Macaca mulatta: one gene and its partners. The protein of the gene in region 1 purifies or fractionates together with the protein of each later gene. This does not show direct contact. Links are inferred from orthologs where the notes say so. Each region holds a gene or a part of one and is shown on either strand. Other genes may lie near its edges.

Evidence for each region.
Region 2: the proteins of AKT1 (region 1) and APPL1 purify together in Homo sapiens (affinity purification with western blotting; 3 studies listed by BioGRID, with this or other methods). This does not show direct contact. The link is inferred for Macaca mulatta from reciprocal best matches to the Homo sapiens genes AKT1 and APPL1.
Region 3: the proteins of AKT1 (region 1) and HSP90AB1 purify together in Homo sapiens (co-immunoprecipitation; 3 studies listed by BioGRID and IntAct, with this or other methods). This does not show direct contact. The link is inferred for Macaca mulatta from reciprocal best matches to the Homo sapiens genes AKT1 and HSP90AB1.

The regions. Positions count from the first base shown.
Region 1 is NC_133412.1:178,213,769-178,221,095, forward strand, and holds part of AKT1 (RAC-alpha serine/threonine-protein kinase), read right to left. Parts: intron 6,624-7,327; coding exon 6,495-6,623; intron 3,594-6,494; coding exon 3,482-3,593; intron 2,701-3,481; coding exon 2,553-2,700; intron 2,096-2,552; coding exon 1,964-2,095; intron 1,892-1,963; coding exon 1,826-1,891; intron 651-1,825; coding exon 582-650; intron 228-581; coding exon 102-227; intron 24-101; coding exon 1-23. UniProt on the Homo sapiens protein: AKT1 is one of 3 closely related serine/threonine-protein kinases (AKT1, AKT2 and AKT3) called the AKT kinase, and which regulate many processes including metabolism, proliferation, cell survival, growth and angiogenesis.
Region 2 is NC_133407.1:120,803,591-120,810,917, reverse strand, and holds part of APPL1 (DCC-interacting protein 13-alpha), read right to left. Parts: intron 5,909-7,327; coding exon 5,762-5,908; intron 4,585-5,761; coding exon 4,502-4,584; intron 3,754-4,501; coding exon 3,595-3,753; intron 2,584-3,594; coding exon 2,395-2,583; intron 1-2,394. UniProt on the Homo sapiens protein: Multifunctional adapter protein that binds to various membrane receptors, nuclear factors and signaling proteins to regulate many processes, such as cell proliferation, immune response, endosomal trafficking and cell metabolism.
Region 3 is NC_133409.1:137,861,150-137,868,941, forward strand, and holds the end of HSP90AB1 (heat shock protein HSP 90-beta), read right to left. Parts: intron 7,043-7,792; coding exon 6,896-7,042; intron 6,284-6,895; coding exon 6,077-6,283; intron 5,974-6,076; coding exon 5,814-5,973; intron 5,631-5,813; coding exon 5,497-5,630; intron 5,364-5,496; coding exon 5,055-5,363; intron 4,612-5,054; coding exon 4,446-4,611; intron 4,243-4,445; coding exon 4,052-4,242; intron 3,930-4,051; coding exon 3,782-3,929; intron 3,667-3,781; coding exon 3,398-3,666; intron 2,909-3,397; coding exon 2,575-2,908; intron 2,465-2,574; coding exon 2,355-2,464; 3' UTR 2,077-2,354; downstream 1-2,076. Other genes in the region: SLC35B2 (adenosine 3'-phospho 5'-phosphosulfate transporter 1), read left to right, coding at 325-1,263. UniProt on the Homo sapiens protein: Molecular chaperone that promotes the maturation, structural maintenance and proper regulation of specific target proteins involved for instance in cell cycle control and signal transduction. Undergoes a functional cycle linked to its ATPase activity.

The DNA of each region.
Region 1 (7,327 bases):
TTGTCCAGCATGAGGTTCTCCAGCTAGGGGAAAGGTGGCCTCAGGTCAGTGCCGCCAGGCTCCCAGGGCCCTGCCCCCACCCCGAGTGCCCGCCGGCGCACCTTGAGGTCCCGGTACACCACATTCTTCTCCGAGTGCAGGTAGTCCAGGGCTGACACGATCTCGGCGCCATAGAAGCGGGCCCGGTCCTCAGAGAACACACGCTCCCGGGACAGGTGGAAGAAGAGCTGTGGGAAGCACGACCTGAGGCACAGCCGTGGCCGGGGCCTCTGCCCCCACGGCCTGCAGGGTTGGGGTTTCTCAGGCAGGGGCTCAGGGCATTGGGCACAGGGAAGGGACCAGCCCCCAGAGGGCACGGGGGCCTGGAAAGTCTCAGAAGCCCTAACTCAGCAGGAACAAGTCACCCCACAGCAGGCAGCTGCCTGGGCAGGCGTCATACCACCCACCCAGCAGGGAGCACCGTCTGGTGCTGTGGAGAGTAGCCGAGGTTCCGGGAAGGACCAGCCCCACTATGGGTGGCCCAGCTGCCAGGGCTGGGTCCACAGGCCGTGAGGCCCATCCCCCGCAGCCCCAGCCCCTACCTCGCCCCCATTGGCGTACTCCATGACGAAGCAGAGGCGGTCGTGGGTCTGGAAGGAGTACTTCAGGGCCTGCAAGGAAGCGGAGCTGGAACTGCAGCCCCACGGGCAGGACAGCAGCCCCACACCACGCTGCCCGATACCATGCTGCTTGATACCATGCCACCCGTAGCCCCACACCATGCTGCCCGACACCACGCTGCCTGATACCATGCTGCTTGATACCATGCCACCCGATACCATGCCACCCGTAGCCCCACGCCACGCTGCCTCACACCACATTGCCCGATACCACGCTGCCCCACACCACGCTGCCCCGCACCACACCCCCACATCACACTGCCTCACACCACATTGTCCCACACCACACACCCCCACATCACACTGTCTCACACCACATTGTCCCACACCACACACCCCCACATCACACTGTCTCACACCACATTGTCCCACACCACACACCCCCACATCACACTGCCTCACACCACATTGTCCCACACCACACACCCCCACATCACACTGTCTCACACCACATTGTCCCACACCACACACCCCCACATCACACTGCCTCATGCCACACCCCCACACCACGCCATCAGGCTGGGCCCTGGCAGCCCCTGAGGCGCCAAGGAGTGTTTGAAAGGTGAGCAAAGTGGCCTGGGCTCAGGTCTCCAGGGCGGGTTGGGACCTCAACAGGGGGCAGTGCTCCCAGCACCAGAGCCCTGGCAAGGGAGGATGCACCCTCCCAGGCAGAGCCACCTTCCTGCCTTCCACCACAGGCGGCTGTGCTTTTAAAGCAAAGGCCCCTTCTGCAGGAGAATCATCCCCAAACACAGTGACCTGGAACTAACCACGTGGCTGGAGTCTGGCCCCCTTCACAGTAAATACCTCCTGGGTCGAGTCCCCAGAACGGGCTCCCCAGGACAGAGCCCGGGCCTCAACAGAAGCCTGGCAGGCAGGGCTGCAGGGCATGGGGAGCTGGGGCCTCCCGGAGCCTCGGCAGAGTGCAAAGACGACCAGGGCCACCTGCCCCACCTGCCTGCACACAGGAGCGGCGAGCACAGCCCCCAGCCCACATCGGGCACCTCCACAGCCTGACCCTCCGGGGCAGGCCTGTCACCAGCGGCAGAATCCGCGGTGCGTAAAGTCCTCACGTGCCCAAGAAGACAGGACATCGTTCCCTAGAGACAGCCCCAGGAGTCGCCACCTGACCCCAGCCCTTCAGCCCCATCTGGGCTCCCACTCACCGTGAGGAAGGGGTGCCTGGAGTTCTGCAGAACACGGTTCTCGGTGAGTGTGTGGGCCACCTCGTCCTGTAAGGCAGGGCTGGGTGAGCTGCCGCCCAGCATCCTCGTCTCCACCCTGCCCCACCACCCCGGCCCCACCTTGGCCACGATGACCTCCTTCTTGAGGATCTTCATGGCATAGTAGCGGCCCGTTGCCTTCTCCTTCACCAGGATCACCTTCCCGAAAGTGCCCTTGCCCAGCAGCTTCAGGTACTCAAACTCGTTCATGGTCTGTGGGCAGGCACCAGGGTCAGCGGGGGGCGCTGCCCACAGTGCCCAGCTGGTCGGCATGTGTCAGGTGGCATGGGGGCCCCAGAGTCACCCTTGGCAGACTTGGAGGCGGAGCCAGGAGAGGCGACCGCTTCACACCTGGTGGCCTGCGGGGCTCAGCGGGGAGTCCGGACTTACAGGGAACACACGGTGCAGCCCTAGCTCAGAGCGTGGGGTTCGGGGAAGGGTGGGGTAACACTGCCCAAGCCTGGCAGGGCTCAGCAGCCCCACTATTTCTCTGACATAGGGAAGAGGACCCACCTGGGAAGCAGCTGCGCCCCACATGGAAAACCGGCCTAGATGGGGATGCTGTGGAGTGCTGAGTGTCTCCTGGGCCAAGCTGGGACCCCATGACCCACCCAGCTCTCCACAGCCCAAGGTAGCCCCAGGCATAGGCAGAAAGGGGGACAGGCCTTACCACACGGTGCTTGGGTTTGGCCAGGGACACCTCCATCTCTTCAGCCCCTGAGTTGTCGCTGGGTGAGCCCGACCGGAAGTCCATCATCTCCTCCTCGTGCTTCTTGAGGCCATCGGCCACTGTCTGGATGGCGGTTGTCCACTCCTCCCTGCAGGAGGTCAGGTGAGGCTGTAGCCCTGCACCTCACCCCATGAGGTCAGGAGCTCCACCCCACGGCTTACACCCACCCTCCAGCCTCACAAGCGGGGTCCCCAGAGACAGCCCTGAGGAGGCCACCCCTTGACCTGGGCTGGCCACACACACTCAGGGTCAGAAAGCCCTTCTGGACCTGAGGGACACGCAGGCTTAGCCCCCAAGTAGGGTTCAAGCCCCCAGCAGGGCTCTGTCCCCACAGGCAAACTCCAACCCCCAGCAGGACCCAGGCCCACAGCAGGACTCCGCCCCCCAGGCTTGCTCTATCACCCAGGCTGGAGTGCACTGGTACAATCTCGGCTCACTGCGGCCTCCGCCTCTTGGGTTCAAGCAATTCTTGTGCCTCAGCCTCCCAAGTAGCTGGGATCACAGGTGTGCACCACCACACCCAGCTAAGTTTTATATTTTTAGTAGAGGCGGGGGTTTCACCATGTTGGCCAGGCCGGTCTTGAACTCCTGGTCTCAAGTGATCTGCCCATCTCAGCCTCCCAAAGTGCCAAGATTATAGATGTCGGCCACTGTGCCCGGTCCCTAGACAGTTTTTATCTCCAGCCTCAGTTTCCCCACCCAACCCCACAGGACTGGGCCAGTTTCCAAACCGGGCTCTGAGGAGGGCCTGGGATCACTGGGGAGTAAGGATGGCTATAGGCAGAGGCGCCCAGCACCCGCCATCCCCACGTCCCTCCTAAGCGCTAGGGCTGCCCAAGTGCCCGGCCTGGCCGCCGCAGCCCACGTACCGCTCCTCGGGAGTCTCCACGTGGAAGGTGCGTTCGATGACAGTGGTCCACTGCAGGCAGCGGATGATGAAGGTGTTGGGCCGGGGCCGCTCCGTCTTCATCAGCTGGCACTCTGCGGGCAAGCAGAGCCTCTGTCTGCATGCATCCCCCTGCCCCTCCCAGGGCCCTCACCACAGTCCCCACCGCACCAGCCAGCTCCCCTTGCATACCACCCACAAGTCCTAGGAAGCCCCACCTCCTCCTCTCTCCAAGCCTCAGTTTCTCGCCTCATAGAGTGGGGCTAGGACCCCCATTCCAGCTCAGACACTCTATTCCAGGTTGAGGCAGCCCCAAAGGGCATCTGGCCCAAGGTCAGGTCAACCCCCCCGCATCGTCCCCTCCTACAGTCCCCTTCCTTCAGTCACTGAGCCCCACCGTGCACCAGGCCTCAGAGGATGAGGGATATGGAGATCCCACAGAGGGGCTGGCATGAGGGGGCCACCCCAGAAAGCAGCTTGTCCCACCTAGTGTAGAAATGTCCTGCTATTTTCCCAATCTCACCCTGAGTACCTGGGAAATACACCTGGGGGCACACGCACACCTGGGGGCACAGCCACACCTGGTGCACAGCCACACCTGGGGCACACCACACCCGGGGCACACCACACCTGGTGCACAGTCACACCCGGGGCACAGCCACACCTGGGGCACAGCCACACCTGGGGCACACCATACCTGGTGCACACCCACACCTGGTGCACACCCAAACCTGGAGCACACCCACACCCAGGGCACACCCACATCTGGGGCACACCCACACCTGGAGCACACCCACACCCGGGGCACACACATATGTGGGGCACAGCCACACCCAGAACAGTCACACCCAGGGCACACCCACATCTGGGGCACAGTCACACCCGGGGCACACCCACATGTGGGGCACAGCCACACTCGGAACACAGCCACACCTGGGGCACACAGTCACACCAGGGGTACACCCACACGTGGAACACACCCACACCCGGGGCACACCCACACTCGGGGCACAGCCACATCTGGGGCACACACACACCTGGGGCACAGCCACATCTGGTGCACAGCCACACCTGGGGCACACACACACCTGGAGCGCACACACACCTGGGGAACACATACGTGGGGCACAGCCATTCCTACTGCACATACACCCTGAGGGCTGTGGGAACGTGCGGGGCCCTGAGAGGTGTGAGTGAGTGCAGTGTGTAGCCGCTGGGGCTCCTTGGCAGGCTCTGGCCCAGCCTGTGCAAAGCAGGAGGGGGCTGAGGGGCCAGTAGGGGGCCTCTGACATTCCAGCATCGAGGCCCTGGCAACCACAAGGGGGCCTGGCCAGGCAGCGAGGGAGCTGTCTTCCAGGCCTGGGGGCCAGGAGGGGGCTCGGGACCAGCCTGGTGGGGAGGGTGGCCTGTGTCAACACAGGCCAGAGAAGTGGAAACCAGTGTGAAGCCCCGGCACACCCACCTCCCACTTGCTCCTGGATGGTCTGATCTGCCCTAATATGCAATCCCCAGGGCCAGGGTCTCGAGCCCACTGCCCCGGAACCCTTCCCCGGAGAAAAGCTCCTGGCCCCTGCCCAGCTCTGCTCCTTGGCCAGGCACTCCAGACCACCCACCTATGGCCTCATCTGAAGGCCCCAGCCTTGCCGGCTGCTCAGGCACCACCCCAGCTGGTACCCACCCGTGTGCCTCCCCAGAGAGCTCCCCTCTTCCTTCCTTCCTGATGCCTCGGCCTGGCGAGCACACCCACAGCACCCGTCCCCAGCAAGGCCCTGTCCCAGGTGCCACCAGGCACACAGCGAGTATCCAGCCTCTCCCTGATCCCTGAAGCCCCCAGCCCCAACCAAGGAGACACTGGGGAGGGCGTGGGGCAAGTTACGCAGCCCTGCCACATACAGATGGCCCACAACTGGGTCCTACTTAGCTACTCAATCACACCTTTGGCTGCCACGGGCAGAGCTGGGCTCCAGGACAGGGACACAGAAAATGGGGACCATGCTGGGAGGCCCACGTGCCCCCAGCCTCCCACCTAGCAGGGCGCCTGGGTCTCCATGCCAGGGTTCCCGTCTAACATGGGTAGGGTCGCACCTGCCCCCGCTACAGGTAGGAAATAAAGCCACAGCAGGGCGAAGCAGGGAGTGTCACGTCTCTCATCTCTGTGGGATGCTCTGGCCAAGGTCCCCCGCTGGCCTTTCTGCACCCGCCCCTTCGTGGGCAAGGAGGCTTCCAGCCTGCAGCCTCACAGAGGGAAGCAAAGGTTCCGCCACGGGGTTTGGGGACCGAGCGCCTGTGCGGGCAGAGGCATGAGCTCTTCCTCGAGTGATGGAGGCTTCAGAGCTAGAGACCCAGGTGGGCTCTATCTGCCCCGCTTGGAGGAGGGGCCCCCGGGTCAGCTGTCCACCCTGAGGCTAGGCTCTGCTACCACTTGTCTGGACCCTCCAGCCTCCAGAGCATGGGCACCAGGGAACTGCTCCACAGTCAGCCAGCATTGGGACTCGGCCCAGAGACCCCCGCCTAGCCAGCCTCAGGACTCAGCTCAGAGACCCCTGCCCAGCCAGCCTCGGCCTCGGGACTCGGCCCAGAGACCCCCGCCTAGCCAGCCTCAGGACTCAGCTCAGAGACCCCTGCCCAGCCAGCCTCGGCCTCGGGACTCGGCCCAGAGACCCCCGCCTAGCCAGCCTCAGGACTCAGCTCAGAGACCCCTGCCCAGCCAGCCTCGGCCTCGGGACTCGGCCCAGAGACCCTCGCCTAGCCAGCCTCAGCCTTAGGACTCAGCCTGGAGACCCCCACCCAGTCAGCCTCGGCTTTGGGACTCAGCCTGGAGACCCCTGCCCAGCCAGCCTCGGGACTCAGCCCAGAGACCCCCACCCAACCCGTGCTTGTTGCTTGCTGGCCCAGAACATGGAGGCTCCAGGGCACCCCCATCGGGGGGCCTGGTGGGCAAAGAGGGCTCCAGCCAACCCCAAATCTGAATCCCGAAAGGCTGAGGGGACACTTACGTGCCACAGAGAAGTTGTTGAGGGGGGCCTCACGTTGGTCCACGTCCTGCGGCCGCTCCTTATAGCCAATGAAAGTGCCATCATTCTTGAGGAGGAAGTAGCGTGGTCGCCAGGTCTTGATGTACTCCCCTACGGACGTGCAGGTGGTGAGGGCCATGCACACTCTACCCGTCAGACCCTCGCCAGGCAGCCAGGTAGCAACTGGTGTGCCAGGACAGATGTGCCTGGGACGCCTGAGTCCCGGGGGGCAGGCGCAGTGGGGGAGCTGTTTCTTAGGGCAAGCGACAGAAACAGCCCTGGGTCAGTGGGAAGGCAGACTCGCCCCACCACAGCGCCCCTCTCAGAAGAGCCACCCCTATCTGTGTGTGAAAACGGGCTGGGCCAGCTGGACGCAGGGGATGGAGTACCATTGACAGGAGGCTGGGAAGAGGTCTGGGCCAATCTGCACAGCCTTCCTGGAAGAGGCAGCACCAAACCAGCCAGTCCCCAGCAGGCACCAGCAGCAGCTCCGGCACCAGCTATGGCCACAGGGGCTGCAGGGCTGAAAGCATTCCCCAATCAACCAGGGTTGGCCAGGTGGCGACAGCAGCTGACAGTGGCATGTGTGGGCTGTCCAGCAGGGCCGCCCCCCGACCCCTGCTACCCACCAAGAGGATGGAGCATGGCGTCAGCAGTGAGAGATCAGCATCACTCAGACTGAGGGCCGGGCTTGCGGGACAGGACTGCCCCACTGCCGTGGGACAGCACTCCCTGTCTAGGGGCCTGGAGCACAGTCCTGGGGACTGCCAGTGAAGCCAGACACGGAGGTGGCCCAGCCAGCTGGGCAGGGGCCC
Region 2 (7,327 bases), on another chromosome or scaffold:
AGCCTCAACTGTTTAAAAAAGTATTTTCAACATAATCTGAGAGAACTTTTTAATCTTTAAAGGTAAAGGCATGTATAAAAACCAATCGGTATTAAAAGAACAAAAACAAAACACAACCAACAGTATCTTAGGAAAAGGAGACCACCAGAGGTATCAGGATGCAGACTTTAACAACTCTGACTTTGGCTACCTATCCCAAGATGTACCAAAAAGGAAACAGGTGCTGATCCTTAGAAGACAGACCATGACAAAGTTACATTTCAGTGAAGGCAATACATTTCAACTTATCATATATATTTCCTATATATTATGAACTATCATATATATTTCAAATATGCATCAATGATCCTAATAGCAAAAACTTTACTTCATTATTTCTCCTTTAATATTAAATCAAATATTTCAATGTTACTCATTAACATATCATTAATTCACTTTTCTACAGATATAATATTAGAGTTAGAGAAAATAATAATTTTTACTAATTTTGCATCACACCAGGAATATGAAATGGGAAATCAGGTAAGCATTAAACAAAAAGTAAGTACTTATAGTAAGTAACATGTTAACAAGTTGGTAATTTTGATAAATGAATACAGTGATTCCCAATATCTAGTGGGATAAATCCACACAATATTGGCATTCATTGTATGTTTGTAGAAGGAATGTGAAATTAAACAACCATTTTGATAAAGGATAGTGAGCTATAATATCTTTTTTTTTTTTTTTTTTGAGACAAAGTCTCACTCTGTTGCCCAGGTTGGAAGGCAGTGGCGCGATCTCGGCTCACTGCAACCTCTGCCTCCTGGGTTCAAGCAATTCCCCCTGCGTCAGCCTCCCAAGTAGATAGGATTACAGGCACCTGCCACAATGCCCAGCTAATTTTTGTATTTTTAGTAGAGACTGGGTTTCACCATGTTGGCCAGGCTGGTCTCAAACTCCTGACCTCAGGTGATCCACCCACCTTGGCCTCCCAAAGAGCTGGGATTACAGGCGTGAGCCACCAAGCCTGGCCTATAGCATCTTTTTTTCAGGGGTAAAGGTCAAATTTATTTATTTGTATAATATCTTAATGTGCATAAATACAGGGGAAAAAAATGACTTTCAGGGAACCCAGAGGCTGCTCCTGATTATTAAATTAAGAAAGTTCAAAGGTTAAAAGCAGTATTTTAATTGAGTGGGGGAAAAATGGCAGATAGTCTAAACATCTATCATTAGGAAAATGTTTAAATTATAATGTATGTCCTTAAATAGATTATAGAATAGCCATTATAACATGTTTTTAATAGGTGGCTGCAAATCCAAATTACAGTATTTCTTCAACTATTTTTAAAATGTACTTAGGTTAAAAATTGGAAGGCAATGGACAAAAAAGTTAATTGTTGCTTTCGATTAATAAGACAGTAGAATTTTTTCATACTCCTTTTTAAACTTTCCATGCTTTTTGAAAATTTCTTTTAAATGCTACTTTAAAGATTCTCATTTAATGCAAAAGTAATAGAAGCTTGGGCGTGGTGGCCCAGGCCTATAATCCTAGCACTTTGGGAGGCTAGCGCAGGAAGACCACTTAGGTCCAGGAGTTGGAGACCAGCCTGGGCAACATGATGAGACATCTCTACAAAAAAAATTTTTTTTAATTGCCAGACATGGTGGCATGCACCTGTGATCCTAGCAACTTGGGATCCTGAGGTGGGAGGATCCCTTGAGCCCAGGAGGTTGGGGCTACAGTGAGCCATGTTCACACCACTGCATTCCAGCCAGGGAGACATAGTAAGACCCCACCTCAAAAAAAGGTAATAGAAATTTTTTTAAATGGTATTATAAACATTAATGGAAAAATAATCTGATCAGAAATATTTGATTAACATTTTAAAATAACACTGTTGTTAGCACCTACTGTATGTCAGTCACATTACATATGTTAGAATTTCTGTTCCTCACAACAATTTACGAAGTAGGGATTACAACCCCCCCACTCACATTTTACATGAACAAAAATGGAGCTGAGAGGGGTTACAGACATTACTCTGCTGTCTGAGACCACAGAGTAAGTAATGGATCCAGAATTTGAACTTTCTGACTCCAGGTTTAGGACTCTTTCCATGAACTTGTTCTGTATTCCCCGATGCTACACAGGATTTTCAGTTCCAGTTCCCTAACATGAAATCACAGGTCTTTACTATATGACATTGCTTTGACAACCTCAAAATATCAACAAACCATTTAACCAAGACAGAAACAAAAATTCAATATATTTCTACAAGATTAAAAAGCAATTTATCTTAATACATATGAACCTAAAATGTCCATAAAATTTCTAAACAAAAAGGAATTATCCCACATTTCAGAAGTTTAAAATATTATAGATAATTAGTAGTAGGAAAAAATACTAACTTTTTTCCATCGAAAGAAGTGATCTGAAAACAATATCGTCTGTCTTCACAGTCCACAGCCATCACTGAACAGTTGTCTATGTCCATGGCCAGGCCTCCTGCTACATCCCCACGGGCCTGACTCATTAAATTTCCACCCTGCGTGAAGTAAAACTGTCTGTCCCAGGTAGATGACACCAAGCCTGTTTTACTAAATGAAGAAAGCACATTCACTCTTTAATAACAACATACCTGAATCTCATCATCAGCTAGACACAAGATAAAGCATGTTACAAAGAACTGGCTTCCGAAAAGCCACCAAGATGCCAAGAAACTAAATATAAATATGCTTTCAGTCTCTAAAATAAATTCATGTATATTGACTCACTTTTGTGAATGTGTATACAGTTTCCAAAACAAGGCTGGAAATTATCAAACTGTGGCTGTTATAATAACGATCCATAAAATACAGGTTATAGTTCAACTTCCAAGGGAGTAAATTCAAAACAATAGAATTTATTTTATTTCTAGGGTTAACCTGCTTCATCCTATCATCAGGTGAAAACTAACATTTGACTTGGTGCTATAATTACAAATATATTAAAGTATGATAAATGATATTTCGCAGCATTCTCATGTGATGATACCATATGTGAATATTTACTTAAACTCAAATTAGTTTCAGTTCATTTTTTTTTTGAGACAAGAGTCTCACTCTGTCCCCTAGGCTAGAGTGCAGTGGCGCGATCTCGGGTCACCGCAACCTCTGCCTCCCAGGTTCAAGTGATTCTTGTGCCTCAGCCTCCTGAGTAGCTGGGATTACAGGCATAAGCCACCATGCTTGGCTAATTTTTGTATTTTTAGTAGAGGTGGGGCTCCACCATGTTGGCCAGGCTGGTCTCGAACTCCTGACCTCAGGTGATCCACCTGCCTTGGTCTCCCCCAAAGTGCTGGGATCACAGGTGTGAGCCACCACGCCCAGCCTTGGTTTCACTTCTTTTATCATTCTACATTATTCAATAAATAGCTAGGTAGGATTTTACTTCTGAAAAGTATTTACGTACCTCATCTGTCAAAAAGTTCACATAATACTAACACCTCTAAAAAGTTTCAACCTTTAATAAAAATCAAAACAATATGACAGACATCAATTATTTATTATATTCATTTGGTATTGTCTTACATGATATACAATATACAAAAATAACAATAGTTTTCTTACTTCCTAGCATTAAGGTATCCAGCCTTTCGGGTTAAATTTCGATTAACAGGAAATTTGGTGGGGTCTGGGTCAGGCACATATAAGGGATCACTGGCTACTTCCAAATCCTCTATTGTCTGTTGCATGGTCTCTATATCACTGTCCATTTCCCTGCGAACACTGATACAGAACAGATTATTTACTATAAATCACAATCAATGTAGAACTCCTTACTAATCATGTTTACCTGCATATTTGTTTTGGATATGTTTTCTTAAAGAGAGGAAATGTGGCATGCGTGGTTAAAACAACACAAATACATTTTAAAACAGGTTTACAGTTTATTTGAAACTTAGATATTTTGGAAACAATACTAAATTCAAAAAATGAATGAAGCCCCACTGAATCCCTGATTTTGGCATAATTTTCAAACTGCGCCTTTAAAACAGAGGTCCTGTGCCTTTAAAACAACAATCACTTTCATCTCTCTCCATACCGTGGACAGACCACATATACTGCTCAGCATTTTGAACCTGATGAGAACTGCTTTCTCTCTGTCTTTAAGCTTTCATGGCGTGGAAACAATATTTAGTAATCTCCCATTAAACTCCCACAATTTCAAGTTTAAAGATAATTTCACTTATGGGGAATTACTATTATGTGTCTGTTTTATTCAGACATAAAACTGAGTTTAGAATCAAATTATCACCATTAAGAAATTCGAAGTTCACAATCTATGGAAAAAAGAGGTAAAAAAAAAAAAAAAAAAAAACAAGAAGTAGCCATGAACCATATAAGAAACTCTCATGGCAGGGAAAATATTCACTCAGGAAATTAAATGATAAATATCTTTACATTTGATATCACTGAGCTGTTAAGCTATCATTCACATCATTTCATTTTCAATTTTAAGGAAAAAAATACTTACTTCTGAACGCTTGTTCCAATATTAGCTAAAAATTCTTCCAGTTGTTCATTAAGATTTTCAGAACCCATCTTAAAGAAACTTATCTGGAGAGCAGGGAGTCAGGGGAATTGAACAATACAAAAATACATTAAGCAATACTTAAAGTAAATCATATAAACAATCTCTAAGATACATGGTTAGGTAAAAAACAAAGGAATATTCCCATTTGTGTAAAAATACATTGTAGTTTGTGATTTCTACTGCACATGGAGCCATTAAGGAAGTTAGACTTAAATTCCACTATATATCCTTTTATATTTTTTGAATTGGAACAAGTAATACATATGTATGGTTAACAATCTTTTAAAATTGGAAAATAAATTTTAAAGTATTTCCAACAAATTATATAAAGTATTTCATGTTTACTACAAAGATAAGTTTTCTATCTGATGAATAATCAGTAAAGTACTCTTTTACTTAAATAGATTCAATTTTTTGTTTTTTTTTGAGACAGGGTCTCGCTTTGTCATCCAGACTGCACAGTAACACCTCATTGCAGCCTCAGCCTCCTAGGCTCGAGGGATCCTTCCATCTCAGCCTCCCAAGTTGCTGGGACCACGGAGACATGCTACCAAGCCCAACTAATTTTTTCAATTTTTGTAGAGATGGGGTCTCCCTACATTGCTAAGGCTAGTCTTAAACTCCTGGACTCAAGTGATTCTCCTACCTCGGCCCTACCAAAGTGCTTGATTATAGGCATGAGGCACCGCACCTGGCCTCAATTTTCTTTAAACTCTTAATTTTTAGGAGACTGACACTTTGTCTTATACTACCCAAAACAAATTTCTAGCCCCCTTCCTGATGTACCTTGGGGCACGCTGGAGTTCATCTATTATTTTTAACTCAGGAAGTATGCAAGGAATATGGGATAAACTCAAACCTGTTCATTCTCTTTCAGATCTATTATGAAGCAAGTGTTTAGTTGAAGCTCCAGCAATAGGTGTAACTCTGAAATTCATTTAGCTTTCTGTTCTCAGTCCCCAGCTACGGTGAACAAGTGGTTTCATTTACCCTAAAATATTTGAAATCTTCATTTGCAAGGAAAACCATTCTTCCTAACTTCCTTAAAATAACAGTCTGATGACATTTTTTAAAATTACTTCCACAGACATGAACAAGGATGTTGAAAATAGTTTATAAATCTTTATACTTAATGTAAATATCAAGCTTAATATAAAGCTTTTAGGACAGTTATAATCCAAAATACAGTACAGTATTTACCTGAGCTTGCATGTACCCAAGTAGAGGTTCTAACAATGCTATTTTCTTCTTGTACTGAAGAGTATTTAATGCACAAAAATAATGCATCATGGTCTGGTGTTGTTTCTTTCTGGACGTGTACACATCTTCTGTTACTTCATACTTCACCTTTGAATGAAAAGATTTAAATAATTAAGTAAATAATCTACTATTATTTACTTAATTTTGTATTATCTTCAGTAGGAGCTGTGGAGAAGAGCCCACCGAGGAAAAGGTGTATCACAAGCAATTGAGCATTGATGTTCCTGTTTCTGATCTTTTAGAAATCCTTCAACATACTGGTTAAGCGAATTTTCCTGTTTAACTTCCTTCCAACCACATAATTTACAAAATGCACATTGAGGCCAGGCGTGGTGGCTCATGCCTGTAATCCCAGCACTTTGGGAGGCCGAGGCAGGAAGATCACTTGAGGCCAGGAGTTTAAGAGCAGCCTGGTCAACATGGTAAAACCCTGTCTCTACTAAAAATGGAAAAAAATTAGCTGGGTGCGGTGGTACATGCCTGTAATTCCAGCTACTAGGGAGGCTGAGGCATGAGAATAGCTTCACCCTGGGAGGTGGAGGTTGCAGTGAGCCAAGATCACACAACTGTACTCCAACCTGGGCGACAGAGACTGTCTCAAAAAAAAAAAAAAAAAAGGCATATTGAAAACAGAATTCTGTACATAACTAAGAATGGTACAGTAACTAAACTAAGCATGGCAGAGAAAGCTTACCACATGGAGGAAGGGCAGACAATTGTTTGTTATTAGTTTAGCCATTAGTCTTTGACTTTGATCAGTTCACAGCATACCAGTCTCCCCTCCTGGTTCTCTCCCTATCAGTCTTCCTCTCTTGTACTTGCTTGTCTTCCCTCACCCATACTTGAAATATGTGTGCTCCCTAGAGTTCTTTTATTCAGACAACATATATTTATTGAATACCTATTATGTAATAGGCATTATGTTCTTCTGTCTTCCTCCTTTCCTTAGAATCCTCAAGTACCAAGAATATTCTAATATTCCAATATATCAATGACTCACAAATTTTATCTCTTCCCTCTCACTCTCCCAAGTGACAGAGGAAACGCATCTCCAGCTGGGTTCTTTATGTGTGTTTATGTGCTACAAATGTACAAAACTGAAAATAGTTTTGTACACAAAACCTGTTCTTCTACTTTGTTTCTTAGCTCTCTTAATTACTACAGGATCCATCCAGACATCCAAGAAATCTAGGACTCATTTTTTATTCCTCCTATTACCACAAGACTTGTCAATTCATACTTAAGAAATATCTCTCGGCTGGGCGCGGTGGCTCAAGCCTGTAATCCCAGCACTTTGGGAGGCCGAGACGGGTGGATCACGAGGTCAGGAGATCGAGACCATCCTGGCTAACACAGTGAAACCCCGTCTCTACTAAAAAATACAAAAAAAACTAGCCGGGCGAGGTGGCGGGCGCCTGTAGTCCCAGCTACTCGGGAGGCTGAGGCAGGAGAATGGCGTAAACCCGGGAGGCGGAGCTTGCAGTGAGCTGAGATCCGGCCACTGCA
Region 3 (7,792 bases), on another chromosome or scaffold:
CCCAGTACTGCATGTGAGAGAGTGCTAAGATGCGGGCCCCATGGCATTTTGCAGTGGGTACTAGTTCTACCTTGAATACCATGTTGAACTACAGATACCCAATTCTGAGAGTTCTTGCCTCCCTGAATTGGTTTTTCACACACAGTTGATTCCCTACAAGGTGAATCCAGACTTGGGAGAAGAAACTTCTACAGAGGAACCAAAAAGTGTATATTTTCCTTTGAATCACTTAGGCATCATCCTGAAGAAGAGGGAGAAGTCCATTTTTGTCTACCTTTTCATTATCTTGCTTATTGTCTCCTTTGCCTCTACCTTCCCCAACAGGTATCTTACCTGACTTGGGGTGTGCTGCAGGAAAGAGTGATGACCCGTAGCTATGGGGCCACAGCCACATCACCGGGTGAGCGCTTTACAGACTCGCAGTTCCTGGTGCTAATGAACCGAGTGCTGGCACTGATTGTGGCTGGCCTCTCCTGTGTCCTCTGCAAGCAGCCCCGGCATGGGGCACCCATGTACCGGTACTCCTTTGCGAGTCTGTCCAATGTGCTTAGCAGCTGGTGCCAATACGAAGCTCTTAAGTTCGTCAGCTTCCCCACCCAGGTGCTGGCCAAGGCCTCTAAGGTGATCCCTGTCATGCTGATGGGAAAGCTTGTGTCTCGGCGCAGCTACGAACACTGGGAGTACCTGACAGCCACCCTCATCTCCATCGGGGTCAGCATGTTTCTGCTATCCAGCGGACCAGAGCCCCGCAGCTCTCCGGCCACCACACTCTCAGGCCTCATCTTACTGGCAGGTTATATTGCTTTTGACAGCTTCACTTCAAACTGGCAGGATGCCCTATTTGCCTATAAGATGTCATCGGTGCAGATGATGTTTGGGGTCAATTTCTTCTCCTGCCTCTTCACAGTAGGCTCACTGCTAGAACAGGGGGCCCTCCTGGAGGGAACCCGCTTCATGGGGCGACACAGTGAGTTTGCTGCCCATGCCCTGCTACTCTCCATCTGCTCTGCATGTGGCCAGCTCTTCATCTTTTACACCATTGGGCAGTTCGGGGCTGCTGTCTTCACCATCATCATGACCCTCCGCCAGGCCTTTGCCATCCTTCTTTCCTGCCTTCTCTATGGCCACACTGTCACTGTGGTGGGAGGGCTGGGAGTGGCTGTGGTCTTTGCTGCCCTCCTACTCAGAGTCTACGCGCGGGGCCGTCTAAAGCAACGGGGAAAGAAGGCTGTGCCTGTTGAGTCTCCTGTGCAGAAGGTTTGAGGGTGGAGAGGGCCTGAGGGGTGAAGTGAAATAGTCTTCTCACCATTTTCTCCTACTGTAACCCGAGGGAGCTGGCTCAAAGGGCAAAATGCAGGTGTTTTCTCAGTATCATAGACTCTGCAGCAGGGGGTGGGGAGCCCAGGAGGCAGCCTTCCCTTTTGCCTTAAGTCACCCATCTTCCAGCAGGCAGTTTATTCTGAGCCCCAGGGTAGAGATAGTCCTCAGTGAGGGGGAGTTTGGGGTCAAGAGGGCATAGGTAGGTTCCACAGTTCCCCCTCCCAGAAGTTTCCTTAAGTCTTGCCCTAGCTGTGCTCTGCTGCCTTCCAGACTCCCCTCTGCAAATACCTGCATTTCTTACCCTGGTGAGAAAAGCACAAGCGGTGTAGGCTCCAATGCTGCTTTCCCAGGGGGGTGAAGTGAAGATGGTGCTGTGTTGTGGAAAGGGGATGCAGATCCCTGCCCAGCACCACCACCTCCTATGCTCCTGGATCCCTAGGCTCTACTCCATGAGCCTGTTGTAGGTTTTGGTACTTTAGAAATGTAACTTTTTGCTCTTATAATTTTATTTTATTAAATTAAATTACTGTAATGGGCTTGGTCCTGTGTTTTGGTTGACTGAAAAGGCATTATTATACGGTAGTTTTTCAGAAAAACTGCCTTTGGCTTCAGTGTGTGCACTCTTAAGACTCACTGGTATTCTGTATCTTAGCTACAAAACCAGCTTAACTTGCTGTGCTCATGAAAACAGCAAGAGCTGGGGGGATAGAGAAGCTAGGGAAGAATTAACATCCACTTCACAAGGGAGAGCAAAAGTGTATAAAAACGGCATATTCTTTATTTTGCATACTTTAATTTCAGAACAAAATGAAGAAAATAAAATAAACCACAACACACAACATCCAATCCTGCTGTCAGAGTAGAGAGGGAATGGGGCTTGACACCCTTGGTTTCCTGCCTTCAACACAAGGACAGGAGAGGAAAAACAACACTAGACATCAGCAGGGGGAGCCAGGTGGGACAGGGGCACTTGAGGCTGCAGTGGGAGCCACGGGGACACTATACAAGGGCACAAGTTTTCCAACTATGAACTTCTAATCGACTTCTTCCATGCGAGACGCATCCTCATCGCCCTCAAGAGGGGGAATCTCATCAGGAACTGCAGCACTGGGTTCTTCTGCTGCCACTTCATCTTCATCAATACCTAAAGTAAAATTAAGCCATGTAAGACTTGATTAAATAGCATTAAGTCAAATCCAGACAGGAGCCTAGTTGCACAAACTCCTTGCCACATCAAGTACCAAAGCTGCTTACCTAGACCTAGCTTGATCATGCGGTAGATGCGGTTGGAGTGGGTCTGGGGATCCTCAAGGGAAAAGCCTGAAGAGAGCAGGGCGGTTTCAAACAGCAGCACCACCAGGTCCTTAACTGCCTTATCATTCTTGTCGGCCTCAGCCTTCTGCCGCAGAGTCTCCACAATGGGGTGGTCAGGGTTGATCTCCAGGTGCTTTTTGGCCATCATATAGCCCATGGTGGAGTTGTCCCGAAGTGCCTGGGCTTTCATGATCCGCTCCATATTGGCTGTCCAGCCATAGGTGCTGGTCACAATGCAGCAGGGTGAAGACACAAGCCTATTGGAAATTGTCACCTGTGGACAATCACAAAAGCCTTAGATTTGCATTAGATCAGTGACCACTTTGAAAGAGAAAACGGACACTGTCAAGCCTGTAATTCCAGCAGGGGGAGGAGGAGGAGGTGGGGCCGATCACTTGAGTTTGAGACCAACCTGGCAAAACCCTCTCTCTACAAAATATACAAAAAATTAACCGGGTGTGGTGGCACATGTCTGTAATCCCAGCCACTCAGGAGACTTGAATTTGCAGTGAGCTGAGATCCAGTCAAAAAAAGAAGAAAATAATATTTTATCTACTCTCACAAGTTAACTGAAGCAATGCCTTATCTGTGCCAAATTTTATTAAAATAGCCTTAAACCTGGCTAGGGGAGAGAACAAGAGCCAAGAAGGCTCCAAACAGTAAATAGGGTGCCTCAAGCCACTAATTGTGTAGAAACATGATTGTGAGGGAGCCCACCTCAAAGGTATGTTACAAAATATATCCTAGCTCCAGAATGGCTTACCTTCTCAACCTTCTTATCTAAGATTTCTTTCATGAGCTTGCAAAGGTTCTCAAACTTTGCCTTGCTCTCTTCCATCTTCTTCTTCTCCTCCTCATCCTCAGGCAGCTCCAGACCCTCCTTGGTAACTGAGACCAGGCTCTTCCCATCAAACTCCTTGAGCTGCTGCACACAGTACTCGTCAATGGGCTCGGTCATATATACCACCTCGAAGCCCCGTTTCCGCACTCGCTCCACAAAAGCTGAGTTGGCCACCTGCTCTTTGCTCTCACCTGTAGGGTAATTAAATGGACTCAGTGACTAAAATGCCTCATACTGCCAGTTCCTAGGTAGCCCTGAAATGTGCTCCCCACTCCTCCAAAAAGGCTTCCATCAGAACCAACGCACCAGTGATGTAATAGATGGACTTCTGTGTCTCCTTCATGCGAGAAACATACTCTGACAGAGATGTCATCTCATCTCCAGACTGGGAGGTGTGATAGCGCAGCAGCTCAGACAGGCGGCGGCGGTTAGTGGAGTCCTCGTGGATTCCAAGCTTGAAGAGTGGGAAGAGAAAAAACAATCCAACTTAACTACAATTCACTTTCTATGTGAATAGAAAAATTTGTTAGTAATTACTAAGAAAGTGGTAAAGGGAATAAGCATTTGCCTCTTTACCTTGAGATTTTTAGAGAATGCCTCATAGAATTTCTTGTAATTCTCCTTGTCTTCTGCCAGCTCAGAGAAGAGCTCAAGACACTTCTTAACAATGTTTTTACGAATGACTTTCAAGATTTTGCTCTGCTGGAGCATTTCTCGGGAGATGTTCAGGGGCAGATCCTCAGAGTCAACCACACCACGAATAAAATCTGCCATCAACCAGGATAAGAAAGCTCAGTAAAAATAGCTAGACCAGAGCTGGTACCCAGATTCAAACAGAAGGCTCTAATAGCCTCCTGAACCCTTATACTTACTATGCATTGCAGAAAATCCTTAACCTAGGATATTCTGGCAGAATGCCGAAAACCTCCCAAGACTTCACCCAACTAAATTAGGCCAAGGAGATACTCACTGAGATACTCTGGTATTAACTCATCACAGCTGTCCATGATGAACACACGACGGACATAGAGTTTGATGTTGTTCTTTTTCTTCTTGTTCTCAAAAAGGTCAAAGGGAGCCCGACGAGGAATGAATAGCAATGCCCTGAATTCCAACTGACCTTCTACAGAAAAGTGCTGGAAAAAAACAAAAAATAAGTGATACATTTCAAAAGAGGGCCTTTTAGCCCCAACACCAAATTACCTAAAAATGGAATAATGATCCTCCCCATAAGCCTAACGGATAGAGCGCACACACAGGCAGTTCCCGAGAAAACTGAGCCTTAATGCCCTCAACGATCTAGACGAATACTAGCTGTATATAGAAAACAGTCCGCTCTGATCAGAACTCTGGATGTGTAAGGCTGCCAATAGACATTACCCAGATTTCCTTTAGAGAAAGTGAGGTCATTAGGAAGGATGGCACTTCACTATGACCGGGTAATCAGTAAGTGAAAATACATGGCTCTCATATTTCTGTTATCAGCTGGACACGTTCCATGTGTCTATTACCTGCCAACACTCTTCCACTTATTCCTCTCCATATTTGCATGTTGACCCAACATGCAAAGGCTTCTCACCTTGACTGCCAAGTGGTCTTCCCAGTCATTGGTGAGGCTCTTATAGAATTCTCCATACTCCTCTTGGGTGATGTCATCAGGGTTTCTGGTCCAAATAGGCTTGGTCTTGTTTAGCTCTTCCTGATCAATGTATTTCTCTTTGATCTTCTTAGTTTTCTTCTTCTTATCCTTACCACTGTCATCCTCCTCATCTGAACCCACATCTTCGATCTTGGGCTTTTCTTCATCATCTTTATCTTCCTCTTCTTTCTCACCTTTCTCTTCCTCTGCCTCATCATCACTAATTTCCTTCTCTCGCTCCTTCTCCAACTAAGTAAGAAAAACAGAAATTAGCCTTGGAGTACAAAACACCAGGAAAAGAAGCAGCCAGGGACCACGAGATTCTCCAGAACAGGAAACATCCTGCAGGCTAAGTGTAAAAGGTTTAAAAGTCCATACTCACATAAAGGGTGATGGGATAGCCTATGAACTGAGAGTGCTTCTTCACTACTTCTTTGACCCGCCTCTCTTCCAAGTATTCTGTCTGATCTTCTTTAAGATGGAGGATCACTTTGGTACCTCTGCCAATGGGCTCACCTAGAAGAGTCAATCATAAGCGTGTAACAGGACGAAAGTATATGCAGTTGAGACTTCACCAAATTAATAAAGTATTAGCGGAACTGCTATGAAGAACTGCTTGACAGGATGCTCAAAATTTCTGCTACTGGTGAGCCCACAAAACTCTAACCCAGCTACCTTGTAACAGAAAAGCTAACTTACCATGGTCAGCCCGCACAGTGAAGGAACCTCCAGCAGAAGACTCCCAAGCATACTGTTCATCATCGTTGTGCTTTGTGATCACAACCACTTTCTCTGCCACCAGGTAGGCAGAATAAAAGCCAACACCAAACTGTCCAATCATGGAGATGTCTGCACCAGCCTGCCAACAAGTTTTTGTAAAGTCAAACACAAAATTTAAAGCAGCAAAAAAAATAAAGAACACTGATGAATATGAATGGTGTATGCCTACAGAACTGCAGTACCTGAAGAGCCTCCATAAATGCTTTAGTACCAGACTTGGCAATGGTTCCCAAATTATTTATGAGATCAGCTTTGGTCATCCCAATGCCTGTGTCTACCAAAGTCAGGGTACGTTCCTGAGGGTTGGGGATGATGTCAATTTTCAGCTCTTTACCACTGTCCAACTTCGAAGGGTCTGTTAAGCTCTCATAGCGAATCTTGTCCAAGGCCTGAAACGAATACAAACAGCAACTTACTTTTGCTCTCTCCGAGACAGGCAATTGCTCTGTTGCCCAAGCTACAGTGCAGTAGTAGCAAGGATGACAGCTCACTGCAGCCTTGACCTCCCTGGTTCAAGCCATCCTCCACCCCAGCCTCCCAAGTAGCTGGGACTACAGGCACATGCCACTGTGCTCAACTAATATTTAATTTTTTGCAGAGACAAGGTCTGGCTGTTGCCCAGGTTGCCCTCGAAATCCTAGGCTCAAGTGATCCTCCTGCCTTGGCGTTACAGGTGTGAGTCAACACGCTCGGTCACTTTTGCTTTCTTAAAGCCCGTGTCTTCAAAGAAAATCTTGGTTTACCTCTCTCAGCCTCAAATCTGATTGCCCCTTATCTTGAGGCTTTAGAACTACAGTTAGTTACATGAGCCCACTTTTTCTGGACATAGTCACTTCCCTTTCAAGTTCAAGATGGCCAGAGAATAAGACAAATCTTTTTGGAATAGTTGCAAGTTTACCCCCTTCAATAGTAGTCCCCAACAAAGGCCAAACCACTCCTTTCCTCTCTACGAAGAGTGTCAAAAAAATAAACACACCAAATATAGAAACCACAGCACTTACATCAGAAGCATTAGAGATCAACTCCCGAAGGAAAATCTCCTTGTTGGAATAGAAGGTATTGATGATGAGGGACATGAGTTGGGCAATTTCTGCCTGAAAGGCAAAAGTCTCCACCTCCTCCTCTCCATGGTGCACTTCCTCAGGCATCTAAAATAAAAATGATCATTAATTACAAAACATGAAGGCCTCACATTTTAAAATCCTAAAGGTCATCTCATTTGTTAGGACCTTAAGAGTTGAGACTGGTTTGACCTGAGTACTATCCCTTCCGAAAAGACCGAAAAAGCATTCTCTTAAAAGATCTCAGGCTACACACTAAGTGGGAAGCCTGAAAATTCAGAAGGAAAAAGAAAATAAGCTGAATGTTCTTCAACCAAATGTCACAGAACCCAGCTACTTAGAGTGGTGACCAGCAGTCTCAGCGTCATCCGGTAGTATGGCAGAAACTCATAATGCTGGTCCAACCCAGGTATCCAGAGATCCCAGATAATCCTTACACAAATTTAAATGTGAAAATCGCTACCTACAGTTCTTCATTTGGAGATCAAAGTAACTAGTTTGGCACTAACTTTAAACTGCTCCCCCTGAGATGTCTTCCTAAGACCAGCCCAAGGGCGGGACACTCCTACCCTACACTGCAGGGAGGAATAACCTGGGATCCAGAGGATACCCGCCCGAGGGGCAATTAAATCCGGACAAAGAATCGATAAGCCAAAAGCTCCACTACGACCCCTTCACAGGACAAAATTACAGAACAGGCCCAAACCCAACAGAAGGAAGATGGTGGCCGTAACCACCAGGCCGACACTCGTCACTGCCGGACATGCGTCGGCAGGGACCACGCGAGGAGGGGGCGCCGCCGTGCACCCTCCTTCGCCCCAGCATCCGGGCACTGGG